4 linked regions of the Oryzias latipes genome follow. The protein of the gene in region 1 interacts with the protein of each later gene in a pairwise test. Links are inferred from orthologs where the notes say so. Each region holds a gene or a part of one and is shown on either strand. Other genes may lie near its edges. The genes, in order: receptor tyrosine-protein kinase erbB-2, pdgfra, ezrin and hdac6.

Region 1 (4,118 bases):
ATTCTGGTCTTTAGGATGATTCTATAGAGGGGTAGTTGGACTGTTATAGCTGTTAAAATGTGATATATTTGGGGGAAAGGTGTGCAAACATACCCACTTTAAAGATTTAAAACCCTTATTTTGGCAATACCTTGTCATTTAAATGCAATATTTCCTATTACCAGTGAAATATACATAAACAATTTGTCTTAAAAGGTTATTACATCACAATTTATTTTAAGAAATTTTACCAAAACAAGTTCTTCTAGTTCCAATGTCAAATTTGTTTTCCCTTATAACAAGAAAAGAACTTCTACTTTTCTGTATTTTCAACTTGTTTAGAGATACATTTTTTTCTTCCATTGCTTGCCCACTGAAGATTTCTTTAAATTTGTTCCAGAAGTCATTATGAAAGTTTAGCCACTCTAGTGAATCAGTAAATGGTGAGATACAGAGATGTATGAGTCTATGCACTTGGGGAAAGTTTGGAAATAGAGCAGGAAAATTGTATTGTGTGCGTGTCTGTGTGTAAATACATATATGTGGGGGGGTTTTTTGGACAAAGCACAAGAAATGTTAGCCCCCAATAGACTGAAAACAAAAAGGATAACAAGCCTGAGAACATCTCACAGGATCAAGCATCTCCTTGAGATGCTACTGCTAAATCCTCCATAAACAACAATAATTACAACATAATCCAACATCTTGAAGTTTGTTGACAAAGACAGTCTGATCTAATTTTTTGGTATTTCTTGTATCATGGAAAATTTGGAGAAAAAAAAGTCCTGAAATATTGACTATTTCCCATATGTTATGATTTAAATTCAAATAAATTTAAAAATCTGCATTTGATACCTTCTGGGATTCTGGGGTGCCAGGAAGATCTACCATTGAAAATGCAAGGTGCCAAGTTGGTGAAGGTAGTAGTATTATGGTGTGGAAGTTTTTATTTTATTTTGTTGTTCCAACAAAAATGATTTTTAAACACTTCAGCACATTTTTATTTTAGAGAACTTTAAGTTCTTTTGGCAGTGTTCTAACATGATGCTCAAAGCTACAGCCTCATAAAGATGAGCGTTTAGAACACTTTTCAGATACATTTCAGTTGGAAAAAAAACATGTTTGAGTAGGATACATAAATTTGACCAATAAATAAATAAACATATATATATTTGTATGACAGAAGGAATCCATGCATTACAGTCTTTAATGTCACATTGATAAGCGTGTAGTGAGTTTGAGGTCTGCAGACAGAAATCTGTGATTGTGGGCGGAGTCAGAGTGCCACTCCTCGCGCAGGCCTTCACGGGAGCGCGCTTGTCACACTGTTACTACCAACAGTCCGAGTTCGGAAGTCTCCGTGGATAGGAAGAAGGGCAGCAATTTCACTAAGGGAGTCGAGATTAAAGCTGCTATTATTTTAAGGTCTAATATTTTAAGAAGGAAAAGACCTATTGTGTTTTTTTTGTCGGCTACAACGAATATTAGACAGACCTAACTCTGGAATATGGACTAAACGCGCCGGGTGCGAGCAGATGGAAGCCGCGAGAAGTTTGGTGTTTATCGGAGCCGTTCTGCTCGGAGTGCCGGGCGTTTTGGGCGGAGAAGGTGGGTGACTTTTGTCGTCTTTTGCGCTCTCACGGTTTGGGAACGCGGACATACTAGACCCCGTTCGAGTTGTGTTCGTGTGGACGTGAAGTGTGAAGTCGACGCGGGTTCCTGCATTCCTCGTACGTGATTTCGTCCTCCCTGCGGAGATTCATGGGAGTTATGGAGCGCAGATAAGGACAAAATTCCCACCTGTCAAAAAGTAGCTTCGCTAAAAGCTTTCAGTTTGAATTTCAATTACAAACTTACACTAAATTGAATAAAGAGAGTTAAAGCCACATAGTTGGGCAATAAACTCGAGAACTGGTGTTGAGATGCAGCAGAGCAGTGTTGGTAAACAACAAACAAACAAACAAACAAAAGCTCTGTGTGCAGAAGATCATCATGACTATGTCAATTATTCACTTCTGGCTCCTAAGGGGACATTGTCTGATAGAGGGCCACTTATCACACTTGGAGCTTGGAGTGCATGCCAGTAAAGTAAGAGCTAACTAACTGAAAGTGCAAATAAGAGCAAATTTGCAAAATGCAAATCAAGATTTCTTTTGTTTAAAGCCAAACCTGAGGAGTTTTTGGATTTCTTCATGTTGCAGAAAGTAGCACCGCTCTAAACTATTTGTTTCATTGTTTTTCACATTTCATATACCAATTATATAAAGTCGAAGAAAAGGAGTCAGATTTGAAAAACTCCAATATCATTTTTTATTTCTGCAAGAAAACCACAGTTTTCATGATTATTATTATGAACTAGTTTAATATCTGTTCTAGGAGGATTTAGCAATATCAATAAACATGTAAAACCTTTGCACAGACTGAGACTATGTGCAGACTTTATTAAATTGCCAGTTTTTGGGGTTAAAAACAACAAAAAGAGCCATGAATTTTTTTTTTTGGACTTTGATTACCAATTTCCAGCTCAATTAAGTTGAAAGACGAAATCCTTAGAGCACAAACAATACTCCTGTTTTATTAGCTGCCCCCGAAGCACTACCACTAATCGGACACACGCAGGAACAAAGCCAGTAGTCACAGGTGAAGTCATTTCTGAACGCGACAGCATTGTTGGGGGGAACAGGTTGGTGCACTTTAGTCTGCAGTGTTGATCTCTGAAGCATCGGACCTGTGCCGGAGTGCTCTGACTGGTTCCCAGAGTTAAGCAACATGTTATGCCCAAGTGTTGACTTCCAGCCTTCTTACTTTCATTTGTTATGTCACTCACACGTGTGCACAGCCCCTCTATGCAGGATCCTTGGTGTGAGGCGATTGCCTCAGTGGACGCACAGTTCACGCCCTTGTCATATTTTAGCGCACCTCAAGGCAAAGTCTATTTGAATTGACGCTAGTTGCAGGTTAACTCTGCCCGTCTAGACTGTTAGTGACCTGACCCACTCTGACTGAGATCAGGATGGTCGTTCTCTAAAAAGGCTCCGCTCACCCTCATGTTTTTCAGAGGAACGTCCGTTTTTTGGCAATAAAAAACTTTTAATTCAACCAATCAAGCATCTTATTGTTTTAATATTATTTTGCATCTTAACCTGGGCATTTAACACTAAGACACTATCATTTTTTTCATGTAAACCTTTTAAAGGCTGTGTTTGAAGATCAATTTGTTTCAATTAAAAAGACAATTCAAAAATATGAAATTCCTCGATTTAATTCTTTTTATAAGAATGTATCACAAATTATCTGGAAAAATGTATCAAATTTATTCGTTTCTATTGTGAGATTTCACAATATTATGATCAAAGGTTTTACTTTTGGTCACTTCATCACTAAACAACTTATTTTAAAACAAAAATTTGACCAGTAAAATGACATTTAATCAATTGTAATGAATCCTATCAAAATTTAGAATTTCTTATCAAAGACTTTACCAATAATCACACTAAAGTTCTCACTTCAGCTCAGGTTATATCTAAAATGCTTTTTTACTTGGAGGGAGATTTGTCTATATTATATGTTGTCATTATTTGTATAAAATGCTCAAATTGCCCTTACCCTACATAAAATGTTTGCATGTCAGTGTTATTTTATTGCATGTATGCAAAATGTGCGTGTGTGTGTTTTTTTTTTAAAGATTTTGTGCATGAATGGTTTCCCATAAGCTCAACTCTCATGTTCAGACCCGGCATTGGAGCAGCTAAATTTAAAAAGAGGACTGTGATGCGTTCACTAATAATAGTCAGTGGTGTGGATGCTTCATAAATATCTTGAAGGCTTGAAGCTCTTGGGTCTCTCCTTGTTGTCTTCATATAGATCCAAAGGTTAAAAAATATCATATTTATATGACTTTGATGCACATTTTTATGCCTTCAGTTTCCCAAAATATTGTCGGTCTGTAGGAATTTATTTGTTCTTTTGACCTGGAACTGAATTTCTATGATACACAGTACTCAGAAATCTGTCAAATTGTTTTAGCTCAATGTTGGTAAACTACATTGACTGTAGGTCTGCATGATATGAGGAAAACTTGCAATATTAGTATTCAATATTGTGATGACGATATAACTTGCGATATTTGAACAAATAGT
Region 2 (4,336 bases), on another chromosome or scaffold:
CTGCTTGTAGTTGGAGCCAGGCAGGGCCATGCATGTGATATTGAGAGGCTGGCCAGCTCTCACTGTCCTCTCAGTGGCTGTAACTTCCAGTGTGAAGTTTCTGCAACTGTCTGCAAATAAGAGCAGACATAAGCACTACCATCTCACAGGCAAAAAACATGTTTCCTCATTTCTGATATAGGTCACCGTCACTCACAGACACCGGCAGAAATAAACTTTTGTGTGAGGTAATCACCTCCACATACACATGCAACATGAAGCTCCCACAAAACCCAAAAAAGGAGTGCGTTGAAATTGTTTCTTTGGTGTTTTTAAATGAACTATGCAACAAGAATATCTGCTCACCTTCATGGGTCACGATGTAAATGTCACTCTTTACAGTGTGGCCATTGACAGAACTTTCACACTGGTACTGCCCAGGAACATCAATCCCAAAAAAGCCTATCTTTGCATCGTAGGGAGAGGAAATCGGCTCTCCACTGGGCACCCTCCTCAGGATGACGTGAGCGTTCGAGTGAGATACACGGCACGGGATTTCCACCATGTGTTGGGAGAGGATGAGATGAATGTTTTCTGGAGACTCGGGGACAAACAGGTTGCTGGGATCTGCAAGAAACACACAATACTCTTTTCATGGCTTTCTTGTTAAGGAATGTGTTCACTTCTGTGTTTTGTCCTTGCAAATATAAAATGAAACAGACCTGTAACAAAGACATAAATGTCAACTTCACTATCTTGCTGCTCTTCATAATTGCACACATAAAAGCCTGTGTTCCCCACAGTGACTCTGGAAATGAGCAGAGTGGCTGAGTTGTTCCCTGTAATGACTATGGAGTTTTCTGGCAGGGGCTTGACCCAGGAGACTTTTTTACTCTCCCCAAAGCAGGTCAAGTTGAGGAAAGAGTGAGGTTGTAGAAAAAGTTCCTTTAGGTTTGGGGTGATGGTTGGTCTTGCAACTGCAGAGGTGCCTGAGGGACAGATTTGCAACCATTACAGAGATTCATGGGGGGAAAAAGTTGTAAAATTCATTGCAGTCTCAAATACCTACTTACCTAGAACCAGCAGCACCAGGAATTTCTTAAACACAGCAAATGTTCTCACCCCACCCATGGTTATGGATGCTCAGGCCTGTGAAGACAGAACAGAGAGAAAACAACACACCATTTAGAATGTTTTTGCAAATTCTCCATTAGTTGCCAGTTTGATTAAGGTTTTGTTCCTTCAACAAAAGGGGGCGTGTATGTGTGTGTGTGTGGGGGGGGGGGGGGGGGTCAGAATGTCGATGCTCCCCACGTTATGCTTTACCGTAGTCAAAAAGTTTAAGGAGTCTTTCGAGGTGAGATCAACCAAGTCTAAAATAATCTAGTGATTTGAGGATGGTGCAGAGCACAAATGCTCCGGTAGAGGGCGACACAGTCCATCATTTGAGGATAGACCGCCTTCAGTGCGAATTGATGGAGAAAAACACAGAACTGTGGACACTGTGGTTCTGTCTGACTTTAAACCGCAGCTCTCTGTGTCTAATCCGTACTTTGAATCACTTCTGTGACTTTTTGTTTTGGGACATTGTTCTGGGAGTCTTTCATCAGTGTCCTCTAACTTCTTCTTGTAGTTGCTGCGGTTCTCCTCCGACTGAGGCTCGGCACAAAAAGCTCGAACAGTCCATTAAGAGTCTGGGTTTGTTGACTCTATAATTAGCGCACCCTCTGCACACAAAGTATATATGCGTGGGAATCAGTTGACGAAATGCACATTAGGTTTGCGCTTTTTGTCCTTAGCGGAGATCTCGTGAGCGTCAACAGACTGCAGAGGCGCTCCAGCTCCGCGCGTGCCCTGCGCGTCTGTCATGCTGAGCTCCCTGCTCTCCGAGCAAGCGGCAAATGCACAGAATCAGAATGAGGCAGCCTGTGCTGAGCTGGGGGCCATCTGTGCAGCAGCTGACAGAAGATGATCTGCTTCAGCTTCAGTGGGGGCTGCGAGAAAGGTGCATCGCTGAAGATGCAGAGATCTGTTTTCCTTAGCTGCTGAAGTCCTTGGTGTCGCAGTGGGGTTTGGGAGGTGGAGAATGTAGTAACCCCCCACTGATCCACCACCAAAAAAACCCCAGCTCCTCTTTTTCCGTTTTGTTGTAGTTTCATTTCTCTTTTGGATGTCCATCAAGTTTCACTCCAAAGATTTTCCGCTTGAATTCCCAACAAAATTCCACCAGAGGAGAAGATAGTGCGCTGCGTAAGCACTCCAATGTGTTCCCAATTAAACACAAGCAGCACCCCGCAGCAGAGCCTTCTGTCTTGGAGGTGAAACATCCAGCTGTGAGGCGAGAACTGAGCGCCTTTATCCAACAGCGTGAGCCACGTCTCCCGCTCAGCCAAATGGGGGACCGGAGAGAGGACTTCAGACAACCGGCGAAAACCTTTACGAATCATCGCTTAATGAAGTTATGACAACTTACAAGGTCTGGAGGCTCCACAGATTCACCAATAAAGTTTGATAAACTTTTTGTAGGTTTACAGAAAAAGGATACTGCGGTAATTAGATAAGATTGTAGCAAAACTAAAAAAAAACCACCAACAACAACGAAACAAACAAAAACCTACTACAATAGATTAAAATGATTTTTAAATAAGTTATGAAACTACTTCAATAGAGCTCTCAGTTACCTTTTACTAATCCCCTCTCTATTGCTTTAGTGCGATGATATCCAGAATGAATAGGCGAGTAAAAAGGCGCAAAAAAAGGCTCCTTTGCAGCGGCGTTAATCCTTGGAGATCATGCGCTGTCGAGCGTCTGTCTGCGCGACCCTCCGCCCGCATCAGCGACCGCCTTCACAACTGCGCTGCAGCCACGGCGACCTGTAACTGATTCAACGTTACAGTCCTCCCCCTCCAGCCCCTGCAGAAAAAGCAAAGCATCTTGCTTAAAGTAAATAACGCTCAGGAAATACACCCCCCCCCCTTCTGGTGAAGCGCTGAACCCAGTTTCAAAGTGAGAATAAGAGTCTTGATCATGAAATGTTTACTCAGATTTCACTGATTTCTTGATTTAAAAACTTTTAAAAGCCTTTATTTGGGTTAAGTCCAACGTGGCTGTTGTTTAAAAAATCTATGATCCTTTATTGCGCATGCAAAAGATGAGATTTGTTTCTCGAAACGCACGGGTACAGCAATTATAGCTTTTATTTTTCATGTAGAATCAGATTTTTTAAGTGAACGGATCCAGTGTGTGGAGCTGGAATCAGGCACTGCAGCCCAGAGGAGCAGGGGGCGCTCCAACACCATCATATTTACGCGCAGTCCTGGAGCGCGGCACACATCCACCACACATCTGACAACAGAAAAGAGACTTCAAACATCAGGGTCGTTCAAACATCGTTTTCATCACCAGAAAACAAAATTGGTTGCATGCCAGATAACCAAGTCTATGAGCAGAACCGCTTAAGTTGGTGCGAGTCTCCAAACTCTTGGGCGGGAACAATGGATCCCATTGACCAACTGGGTACAGGACAGAAATACCAGAAAAACCTAAAGGTAGAGGCAAGGGCCCGGGGCCCACTCCCCACCCCCTCCTCCGCTCCGCGTATGCAGCCTCTTGGTGGAATCACTTCCACATGTTAGAAGAACTGTGTCCTTGTTCTCCAAACAAAGAACTTCAGCCTCAGAAGAGCAAATTTACCTCAAACTGGGCTGAAGCTCCACCTTCTGATGGGTTTTCTGAGAAAAAACTAAATACAGCCATGCAGGTAAAACCTTTACAAATAATTGTGTTTTTACTGATAAAGGGGAATGTCAACTTTCACTGAAAACAAGAATTTACTTCTCTGTAACCCAGGATAATAAAATAATGACATCATATATTTTGTTTTATTGTTTCTGGACCGGAAGAGTTTCTTGTTTAATCCCATTTGTCCTTCCTGTGACTGACCACCAGGGGCTTTGAGGAGGAATGTCAAAAGGTATTTCTGACACAGTATATATGTATTTAAAAAAAACAATCATGTAACCTACTTCACATTTTTTTGTATGGGGTTTCAAAAACTAGCTCAACCATTGTGATGAGCCACGATAGTATCAAAAACCTTTTTAGTCCCAAATGATTTAATTCATAATGTATATTTAAATTTTAATCTATCTATCTATCTATCTATCTATCTATCTATCTATCTATCTATCTATCTATCTATCTATCTATCTATCTATCTATCTATCTATCTATCTATCTATCTATCTATCTATCTATCTATCTATCTATCTATCTATCTATCTATCTGTCTGTCTGTCTGTCTGTCTGTCTGTCTGTCTGTCTGTCTGTCTGTCTGTCTGTCTGTCTGTCTGTCTGT
Region 3 (4,227 bases), on another chromosome or scaffold:
TGCTAGGTTGAACGCTGTGAAAACTAAATTTAATGTCATTAGTTAATAGAACGTCAAGCCGAATGGTTGACATTTCCACCTTACCAAGTCTGGCCCTCTTTGCAAAACGTTTGAACACCCCTATCCTAAACTGACAAACCCTATGACTATATATATGAAAAGTTATAATGACTGAAAACGACAGTTTTAGCCTTAATGGCTGATAGTTTTCATCCATCATAAATCTAATAATTCTGACAGTATAGAGCCATGCGGTGCAAGCGTTTAAACAGATTGGTGATGGGAAGTGGGGTAGGCTTACTCGACGCTAGCAGTTCCGCACACAACTCTGAGGCAGATTTCTAATGAGCAACTGCTGCTCTGCAGAAAATGTCATAGAAAATGACAGTTTTTTTTTTAATGGCTAAAACAGAATAATCAATAAAAGATGACTATCTGGAAGTCAATCATCTTTTAATGATTATGCTGATTTTGGTTCATTATGAAGTCTGGATAAGCTGCGCTACACCTTTGCGTTTTTCATTGATAACCATCCAGCATTCTGCCCTCTGCATAGCTCAAATGCTTTACAAGAACCAGTAACAATGGGAGTCGCCATGGATATCCCAGTAAAGTCACTAGAGCGCAAGAAGGTCATAAAAACAAAGAAGCTGCTGTATGCAAGTTCTACGGATGTAAAATTTGAACACACAGGGTTCAGAGGCATGTGATGATTTTGTAATCATCTCTAGGGGGGGCTCATTTGACCCAGTCATCACATATTAAAAAGAGAAGTACCATTAATAGAATCGCACCGAAAAAGAAAACGCCCATGCTGATGTTGACCACACCTTGTGTGGTTTTTGTCATGAGCCGAGACACAGCACAGAGATCCTAACAGTGTTATGTCATTCAAATCAATCCAATATGAGGCATAATGTTATAAATAGACAAGCTTTACAATAGACACACACAAATACAAACCAAACATCGGAGCTGTAATAGCAAAATACTGTTAGTTTTCATTTTTTAGTTTGCAAAACCAACATTAACTCTTATATTGTGTTCAGATCAAAACTGACTCAAACACAATATAGGAGTGAAGAATGGCCAAGAATAGAGGCTGACCTTTGTTTGAAATATGTCTGCATGCTAGATAAGGGCAGCTGTTGAAGAAGAGGACAAAAGGACGTGGAATGTGGCTGAGTCGTACTGAAGAGGGTACCACACACAAACCTTTCATGGTGGTTCTGCAGGCACCTTTTATTTAGCATCTCTAGTTACAGTTACTGTTGGTTTTATAACTAAATGTTAAACATTTTAGCCTCCAACTTAACTTGACTAATGGAATTAGAATCTATATCAAAACTAATTTTTTTGTAAATCCAACTAAAACCTGTATGTGTTTGGCTTTAAAACATCTCGAACTTTATGTAATTTCAGATTTTACTAAAGACTACCACAACAGTGAAACAGTATTAAAAAGATTCATTTTTCCTGACAGAAAAACATAACAGATCTAATCTAAAAATTATATAAATAAAAAATGCATGTCACAGCTCCTTTGTCCTTATAAACACCCAGTGTTTCTTTCATGCCTAACAATGTTGTTTTGCCATCAGATGAGGATGGTGTCATTTCCACAGCAAGGCTCCTGACAACCCCAATGCCTCTCTAAACACAGCAACGGCAGCCTTTATGGTCCTGACCGCCGCTGTGATGATCACCACATGGACCAGCGTGAAGCACTTCTGCTATTTTTTCATTGCAACTGTAATATTTAAGTCCACCTGTAATGTGCAGGCCCAGACTGTATATTAAATTAATAAACGAGGGTCAGTTCAAGTCACGTCCAAAGAAATCCCCATCATATTTTCCATCTGACACTTAAATGTGAGCACGGAACCAGAAATTTCCAGGCAGGGAGCTGAGGGAAAGACATGTGTGACTGTTCAGAATGCAATGGCCGGGGTGGGGCAAACTGTGAGTCAGGAGGAGCTGAAGGCACAGCCTCCTCAAACAAACATATATGCATATATTTATGACACGATTTTATACAGCAACAAAAAGGGAAAAAGGACATTGCAGTTAAACCGGTGCATCCTCCCATTTAAAAACAACACACTTGGTTGTGATGTGCACCACAGAGGATGACTGATAACAACTGGCCTCCTTTGTAACGTCATATCAAACAAATCCTTTCTGGAGATATTAGGGGAAAGTGATGCTCCCCCAGGCTGAAGTTGGATGAATGGGATTCAACTTTGACCCCCCCAAATTTCCTTTTTTTTAATACATATTTCAATAATATTCATATGAATTCCTGAGAACATTAAGTTACCAAAGGGAAACAACAGTTACCGCCTCCCTCCTCAATCTAAAAGAAAAACCCTCAGTGAGGCAGCATCAGTCTGACACCAGCATCTCCTTTAACAGATTTATGAGGTTTTTGTGCGTAAAAATGGAATGACGTCTCAATTAGGGTGACCTCAAAGCGGCTACGCGCGCCGGCTTTACGAACGCCACCTGTGCGCTCTCCGCAACTTTTCTCCTCCTAAAGCAGGAATTCCTCAAACAGCAGAGTGACTTACCGCTTTCGGCATGTTGCTGCTCTTCTCCCGGGATAAACAGCAGGAATTGGGTTGATCGAAAGAGTCCTCTAAAAGGAAATAAAATAAATAAAGCTTTGCTCCTTGTGACAGCGCCTCTCGCTGCGTCTGTAAATGAGATCAGAGAAAAGCAGAGAAACGAGTTTTCAACTTTTCACTCTGACTTAAAGGCTGAGGACGCAGGCCACTCCTGCGGACGACAGTCACCGGGATGAATCACCTCCAACAGCCGGCAAGCTGACATGCGCGCTGCTGCCTTCAAAATAAAAGCATGCAACACAAAAGAAAGCAACCTTCTCCAATCACGCCCATATTTTTGTTTGGTTTTTTATCATCGTGGTATTTCTTCAATCAAGCATTATTTTTTGTTGTTTTGATTGTTTGTTAACAATGGATGAGCCTATTAGAGGGTGCTAGAAGGAGTTCTATATTCACATCACAAATAGTAAGAAAAAAAGAAGAATTAAAATGCAGGTAAATTTAAAACAAGTTGAATTTAAAATACTTTATTTTAAACTGTTTTAATTTTATTTATTATATCAATATTTTCTATTTATCAAAATTGAATAATCAATACTATAATCTATTTCTGCGCATTGATATTAGTAGGAATTCAATCTCTGTTTTTGGCTGTCTAAATATGTTTTTTACATTTCTCTGCAATAAATAGAAATATATTTAAAAGACCTTTTTGTTGAAAATTTTCCTTTTTTAATATTGTACTTAATACAGATTCTAGTTCCATTTCATAACTGATGTTTCTATATTACATTTCTGAAACAGTTCCAGACACTTTTGTATTTACATAATGTTTTTATAATGAAGGTTTCTTTTCACCCACTTTGTTTTACCTTTGTTAAATTGTTTACTGTTCACCTGGACAAGAAGAGCCAAAATAGCCTCACCATAGAACACTGAGGTCCTTTAGAGTTAGCAGGCCTCTCCTATAAGGTCATTCAATGACTCTGTGGTAGCCTCTGCAATCCTTCACACTCTGGTCTGCTGGGGAGCAAGCAGCACAGACCGGGACAGGAAGAAACAGAAAAAGGTGGTCAGGAGAGCCAGTTCTGTCCTGGGCTCCCCACTGGACTCTTTTGAGGTGGTAAGTGAGAGGAGGATCTTGGCAAAACTGAGATTGATCATGGACAACACCTCTCACCCACCACATCAGACAGTATAGAGGCGCTGAGCAGCTTCTTCAGCAGCAGAGTGTTACACGCACAATATAAGAAGGGGCGTATAAAAGAAGGTCCTTCATTCAACCACTGTTAGACCGTACAACCTAGTCTAACAACAGATTCAATATTGGTTTATTCCTGACAGAAACATTCAATGCTCTACTGCTTTTCTAGTTCTGTTGTTTTCTTTTTCTCCGGCAATGCAAGTATTAAGTATATAATGAGAGTTTTTGAAGAGTTTTATAATTTTATTTGATCTTTTTATGTTGTTTTAACCATACTTTTAATTGTTTTGCACATTTTACTTTTCTTTTGCCTGATCTCCAGAGCTGCTGTAACAGATGAATGTCCCCACGGCTGGATCAATAAAGTTTAACTTATCTTATCTTAGTGGGTTTTTAATTGCTTATATTTGCTGTAGATTTCCAATTAAAGTAGTTAACAAATAGTATATAATTGAA
Region 4 (4,084 bases), on another chromosome or scaffold:
ATTTACATTTATAAGACATGCTACAGTGCCCCCCCCTTTTTTTAGGTTAAAACTTTTTACAAAGATAAGTCATTTTATTTATGTTGAAGCTTTGCTTTATTTACTATAAAAACTTTAAGGAACTGTTTATTTAATATGTTTTACTACTTCAAAAAGATGCTGCTGAGCCCCTTACTCCCTGAACTTCTAGGAGCTTTTTATTTGCTTTTTTTCTGTATAAAAAAAACAACAAGTTAATTGTTGGTGTTTGTATTATTCTAAGTTTGGATGCCAATATTTGAAATTTTACTACTATTAAATATTGGCTCCAAATATCAGTTACCAGCTTTCTTGACTACTAATAATCATTATGGACCCTGAAAAAACAAAATAAACGAGTAACTAAAAACAAACCACTTCGGTCAAGCAAAGCCTAGCCGTTTCTACTAACTACGGAATAAAGTCAAACTGAAGTCTCACCAGTGCCCCCATGATACTACTTAGCTCCTCGTCCTTCTGATAGCTTCTCTCAATTCTTCCTCTCCTCTTCACTTCTTGCAGATTGCTTCCTCTTCTTCTTTCCTCTATTCCATCTTTGCTGTCCTGAAGAAAAAAGGGAGGACAGAAGATGTGAACGTTTAGTATGTGGCGGATCCAAATCCACCTTGGGTAGTTGATTGACTTTCCTTCGTACAGTCAGGGTGGCAAGCATAAAAAAATGAACCTGTAAGCACAAACCTAACGCAAACCACACAAAAATGTTAAAACATCATAAACACAAACACAAATTGCACAAATGCAAGGTATAGCTAATCAAAGATAGCTGCACGGTCTCACTCACCTGACTGTTTAAATGATATGTTTGTCCTTAACACCCCGCCTCCCACCCCCGTCTAACTTTTGCGGTTTGTGCTGAACCCTGAACCCTCGAGAAGGATATTGGCAAATCCAACACTAAGAATGGTTGACAAGCTGCAAATGTGTTCAAATGTTTAAGGTCATGCATGACCCCTCTACCTCTATACCACGCCCACACTTTTATGTGTCAATAAACAAAAAACTACAGAGAAACCTGCAGACAACTAAAACACTTTAAGATGTAGAAACACCTGTACAGTAAGAAAAACACATGCAAATACTTAAGAACTCTGAAGACACTTAAAAACACTCACATAAGCCTAAAAAGACATGTGGACTAAAAAAGACCTACAAGAACTTGGAAAAACCTAGAGACACATAACACCAGTAAATACTAAAGAAAACACCTGCAGACACATGAAAACACCTGCAGACACATGAAAACACCTGCAGACACATAAAAACACCTGCAGACACATGAAAACACCTGCAGACACATAAAAACACCTGCAGACACATGAAAACACCTGCAGACACATAAAAACACCTGCAGACACATGAAAACACCTGCAGACACATAAAAACACCTGCAGACACATGAAAACACCTGCAGACACATAAAAACACCTGCAGACACATGAAAACATCTGAAGACACATGAAAATGTCTGCAGATGGTGGTGGAAAAGTTTGCTTATTTAGCTTTTTTATTTCTTTTACCAGGATATGAGATTAAGTTTTAAGGGATTTCTGATGGCGAGAAAAGCATAATATCCCTTAGGTCATTTGCAAAAATAACTATTAGTGTAGGGGCTGCACGGTGGTGCAGTGGTTAGCGCTCTTGCCTCACAGCAAGAAGGCCCCCGGTTCAAGTCCCGGCTGGGGGACATGAAAAACACAACATCAATGGGGGACCTTTCTGTGTGGAGTTTGCATGTTCTCCCCGTGCATGCGTGGGTTCTCTCCGGGATCTCCGGCTTCCTCCCACTGTCCAAAAACATGCTTCATAGGTTGATTGGCAACTCTAAATTGTCCATAGGTGTGAGTGTGAGAGTGGATGGATGTGTGATTGAGGATATTCCACCCTGCGACAGACTGGCGACCAGTCCAGGGTATCCCTTGCCTACGCCCAAGTGGCCGGGATAGGCTCCGGCAACCCCGTGACCCCGAAAGGGAAAAAACGGTCAAGAAGATGAATGAATGAACTATTAGTGTACTTGTGTGGGGCATTTGTCAAAATGAGATCAATCAAGGATGATCTAGAGGGGCACTTAATATTAGGACGGGTAGGACTATCGATAAATTGAGTGAGATTTAAATAATTGTGAATGATGCCCTGAAAAGCCTGCAAATGCCTGGAAACCCCTGAAGACACCTTAAAAAAGCAAAAGTAACCTGGAAATGTCTGCAAACACCAGAGAAGGCAGATCTAAACAAAATGTTGTAAGCATCTTTATTAGCAGATCACCTGAGGTCAGATCAACCTCCATTACGATCTGGACGTAGTTTTGAGTGTTACTGACCTGCGATGACAGACGTGGAGACCTTCTGACCGACTTGGATCCAGATCGTGGAGGTTCTGACCCAGGCTGCATGGCTGGTTGTCACCTGGAGAGCAGCAGAGTGTAGATCAGCGCAGTTCTCTGTCTGTCAGGGCCATTCAGTTATGACAGTTTTACAGATCCAACACATTTCAGAAAAAACTAAATCTGCACCGTCATTTTCTCCAGGTTTGATAACGTTTTTCTGACTGTAACATAAATAAACCAAAACCACGATACCTGAAGCTAACCACTGAATCAGGGGGGGGGGGGGGGGGGGGGGGGGGGGGGGGGGCAGAACCGGACCTCTTTTCCTGTGGATCTGTTCTACTACAACACTTCCTACCAGAGCGAACTGAGGATGTCCGAATCGAACTGGTTGGTTGCGGGATCTGCACGCTCTTGTTTGTTTAGTCTATCAAAGCGCCAGGACGCGCACTGTCGCCCTCAGATGACGCCACAACGAAGGCGCCCGCAGATCGCCTGGTTTTTTTTTTTTAAACAAACTTTATTGTACATTTTTCAATTTACAGACATTCACAGTCACTTACTTGCTCAATAAACAATTGTTAATATCAAACACACATATAAGACTGAAAAAAACGAAAAATAGTAATATTTTTAACAATGTGTGTGCCTTTTTTTTTTTTTTTTTTTTATAGATGCTCATATACAAACCAAATTAGGGTGAACAAACGTTATAAATGCACATATAGAAAGAAAAAGAAACAAAAATGAAATAATAGGCAAAGGCAAGGCCAAAACAATTCAAAATAATAATACTTTTGATATATTCTGATAAATGACTGTAGTTTTCTTGTTTTTGTTAGGAATGCATTTAAGACACTTATAATAATCAGAAAAATAATTCAAAAAAATACTAAATAGAGGGCATGTATTTTTCCATTTACACAAATGAATGAAATGTTTGCATAAAATAATAACAACATTAATGACATCAGAAATTCCCGGGTCCAGATTTTCCATATAGAAAAGAACATCATATAAGGAAAAAAAGGGAATATTTAAAATTTTGATTGACAACCAATTGTGTATATCAGACCAAAATATTTTAACCTGGTTGCAACTGTAAAACAGATGTTCTAATGTTTCAGTTTCAGATGAACAGAATATGCATGGTTCCGATTCAAATTTGAATCTTTTATGTAAAAAATCTCCAACAGGGTAAATTTTAGATATTATTTTAAAATGCGTTTCTTTCATTTTAGGAGGAAGTGGGTACTTTATGTATAAAGAAAAAGATTTGTTCATTTGGGTGGTTTCTAAATCGCATCTATTGTTTATACTAAAGTTGCAGAAAATTAATTGCTTAAAGGTTAGAGTTATTAATTTATTGTTGCATTTTTTATCTTTTAGGGGAATATTATTAATTTTCAGCACCGAAAGTTGTGGTTTGATTTCATTGTATTGTAGTATGTTTTGAATGAGATTAAGTAGAGGTATGGGAATTGCTTTACAGACTTTGTTATAACAGTTACTAGAATCCTTAATCTTGTATTTGGTTACAAATTCATAGTATGATAACAGCCTTCCATCAGTACGCATCAAGTCATGGACAAAATACACACCATTACCATACCATTCAGACATAAACAAGGATTTCTTGTTTACAGTTATAAATCTGTTGTTCCATAAAACAGTGTTGTGAGGGGAGAAGTTATGGTTGAAAAGCATCTTCCCAAATTC

Evidence for each region.
Region 2: the proteins of receptor tyrosine-protein kinase erbB-2 (region 1) and pdgfra interact in a protein complementation assay, tested with the Homo sapiens proteins (2 studies listed by BioGRID, with this or other methods). The link is inferred for Oryzias latipes from reciprocal best matches to the Homo sapiens genes ERBB2 and PDGFRA.
Region 3: the proteins of receptor tyrosine-protein kinase erbB-2 (region 1) and ezrin interact in a protein complementation assay, tested with the Homo sapiens proteins (2 studies listed by BioGRID and IntAct, with this or other methods). The link is inferred for Oryzias latipes from reciprocal best matches to the Homo sapiens genes ERBB2 and EZR.
Region 4: the proteins of receptor tyrosine-protein kinase erbB-2 (region 1) and hdac6 interact in a protein complementation assay, tested with the Homo sapiens proteins (2 studies listed by BioGRID and IntAct, with this or other methods). The link is inferred for Oryzias latipes from reciprocal best matches to the Homo sapiens genes ERBB2 and HDAC6.

The regions. Positions count from the first base shown.
Region 1 is NC_019877.2:7,422,728-7,426,845, reverse strand, and holds the start of receptor tyrosine-protein kinase erbB-2, read left to right. Parts: upstream 1-1,284; 5' UTR 1,285-1,514; coding exon 1,515-1,587; intron 1,588-4,118. UniProt on the Homo sapiens protein: Protein tyrosine kinase that is part of several cell surface receptor complexes, but that apparently needs a coreceptor for ligand binding. Essential component of a neuregulin-receptor complex, although neuregulins do not interact with it alone.
Region 2 is NC_019862.2:528,958-533,293, forward strand, and holds the start of pdgfra (platelet-derived growth factor receptor alpha), read right to left. Parts: upstream 2,855-4,336; 5' UTR 2,661-2,854; intron 1,129-2,660; 5' UTR 1,111-1,128; coding exon 1,053-1,110; intron 969-1,052; coding exon 702-968; intron 607-701; coding exon 346-606; intron 111-345; coding exon 1-110. UniProt on the Homo sapiens protein: Tyrosine-protein kinase that acts as a cell-surface receptor for PDGFA, PDGFB and PDGFC and plays an essential role in the regulation of embryonic development, cell proliferation, survival and chemotaxis.
Region 3 is NC_019882.2:6,207,441-6,211,667, forward strand, and holds the start of ezrin, read right to left. Parts: upstream 2,812-4,227; 5' UTR 2,583-2,811; coding exon 2,571-2,582; intron 1-2,570. UniProt on the Homo sapiens protein: Probably involved in connections of major cytoskeletal structures to the plasma membrane. In epithelial cells, required for the formation of microvilli and membrane ruffles on the apical pole. Along with PLEKHG6, required for normal macropinocytosis.
Region 4 is NC_019865.2:34,325,555-34,329,638, forward strand, and holds the start of hdac6 (histone deacetylase 6), read right to left. Parts: upstream 2,852-4,084; 5' UTR 2,724-2,851; intron 2,635-2,723; exon of another isoform or gene 2,618-2,634; intron 2,451-2,617; exon of another isoform or gene 2,445-2,450; 5' UTR 2,432-2,444; coding exon 2,360-2,431; intron 583-2,359; coding exon 460-582; intron 1-459.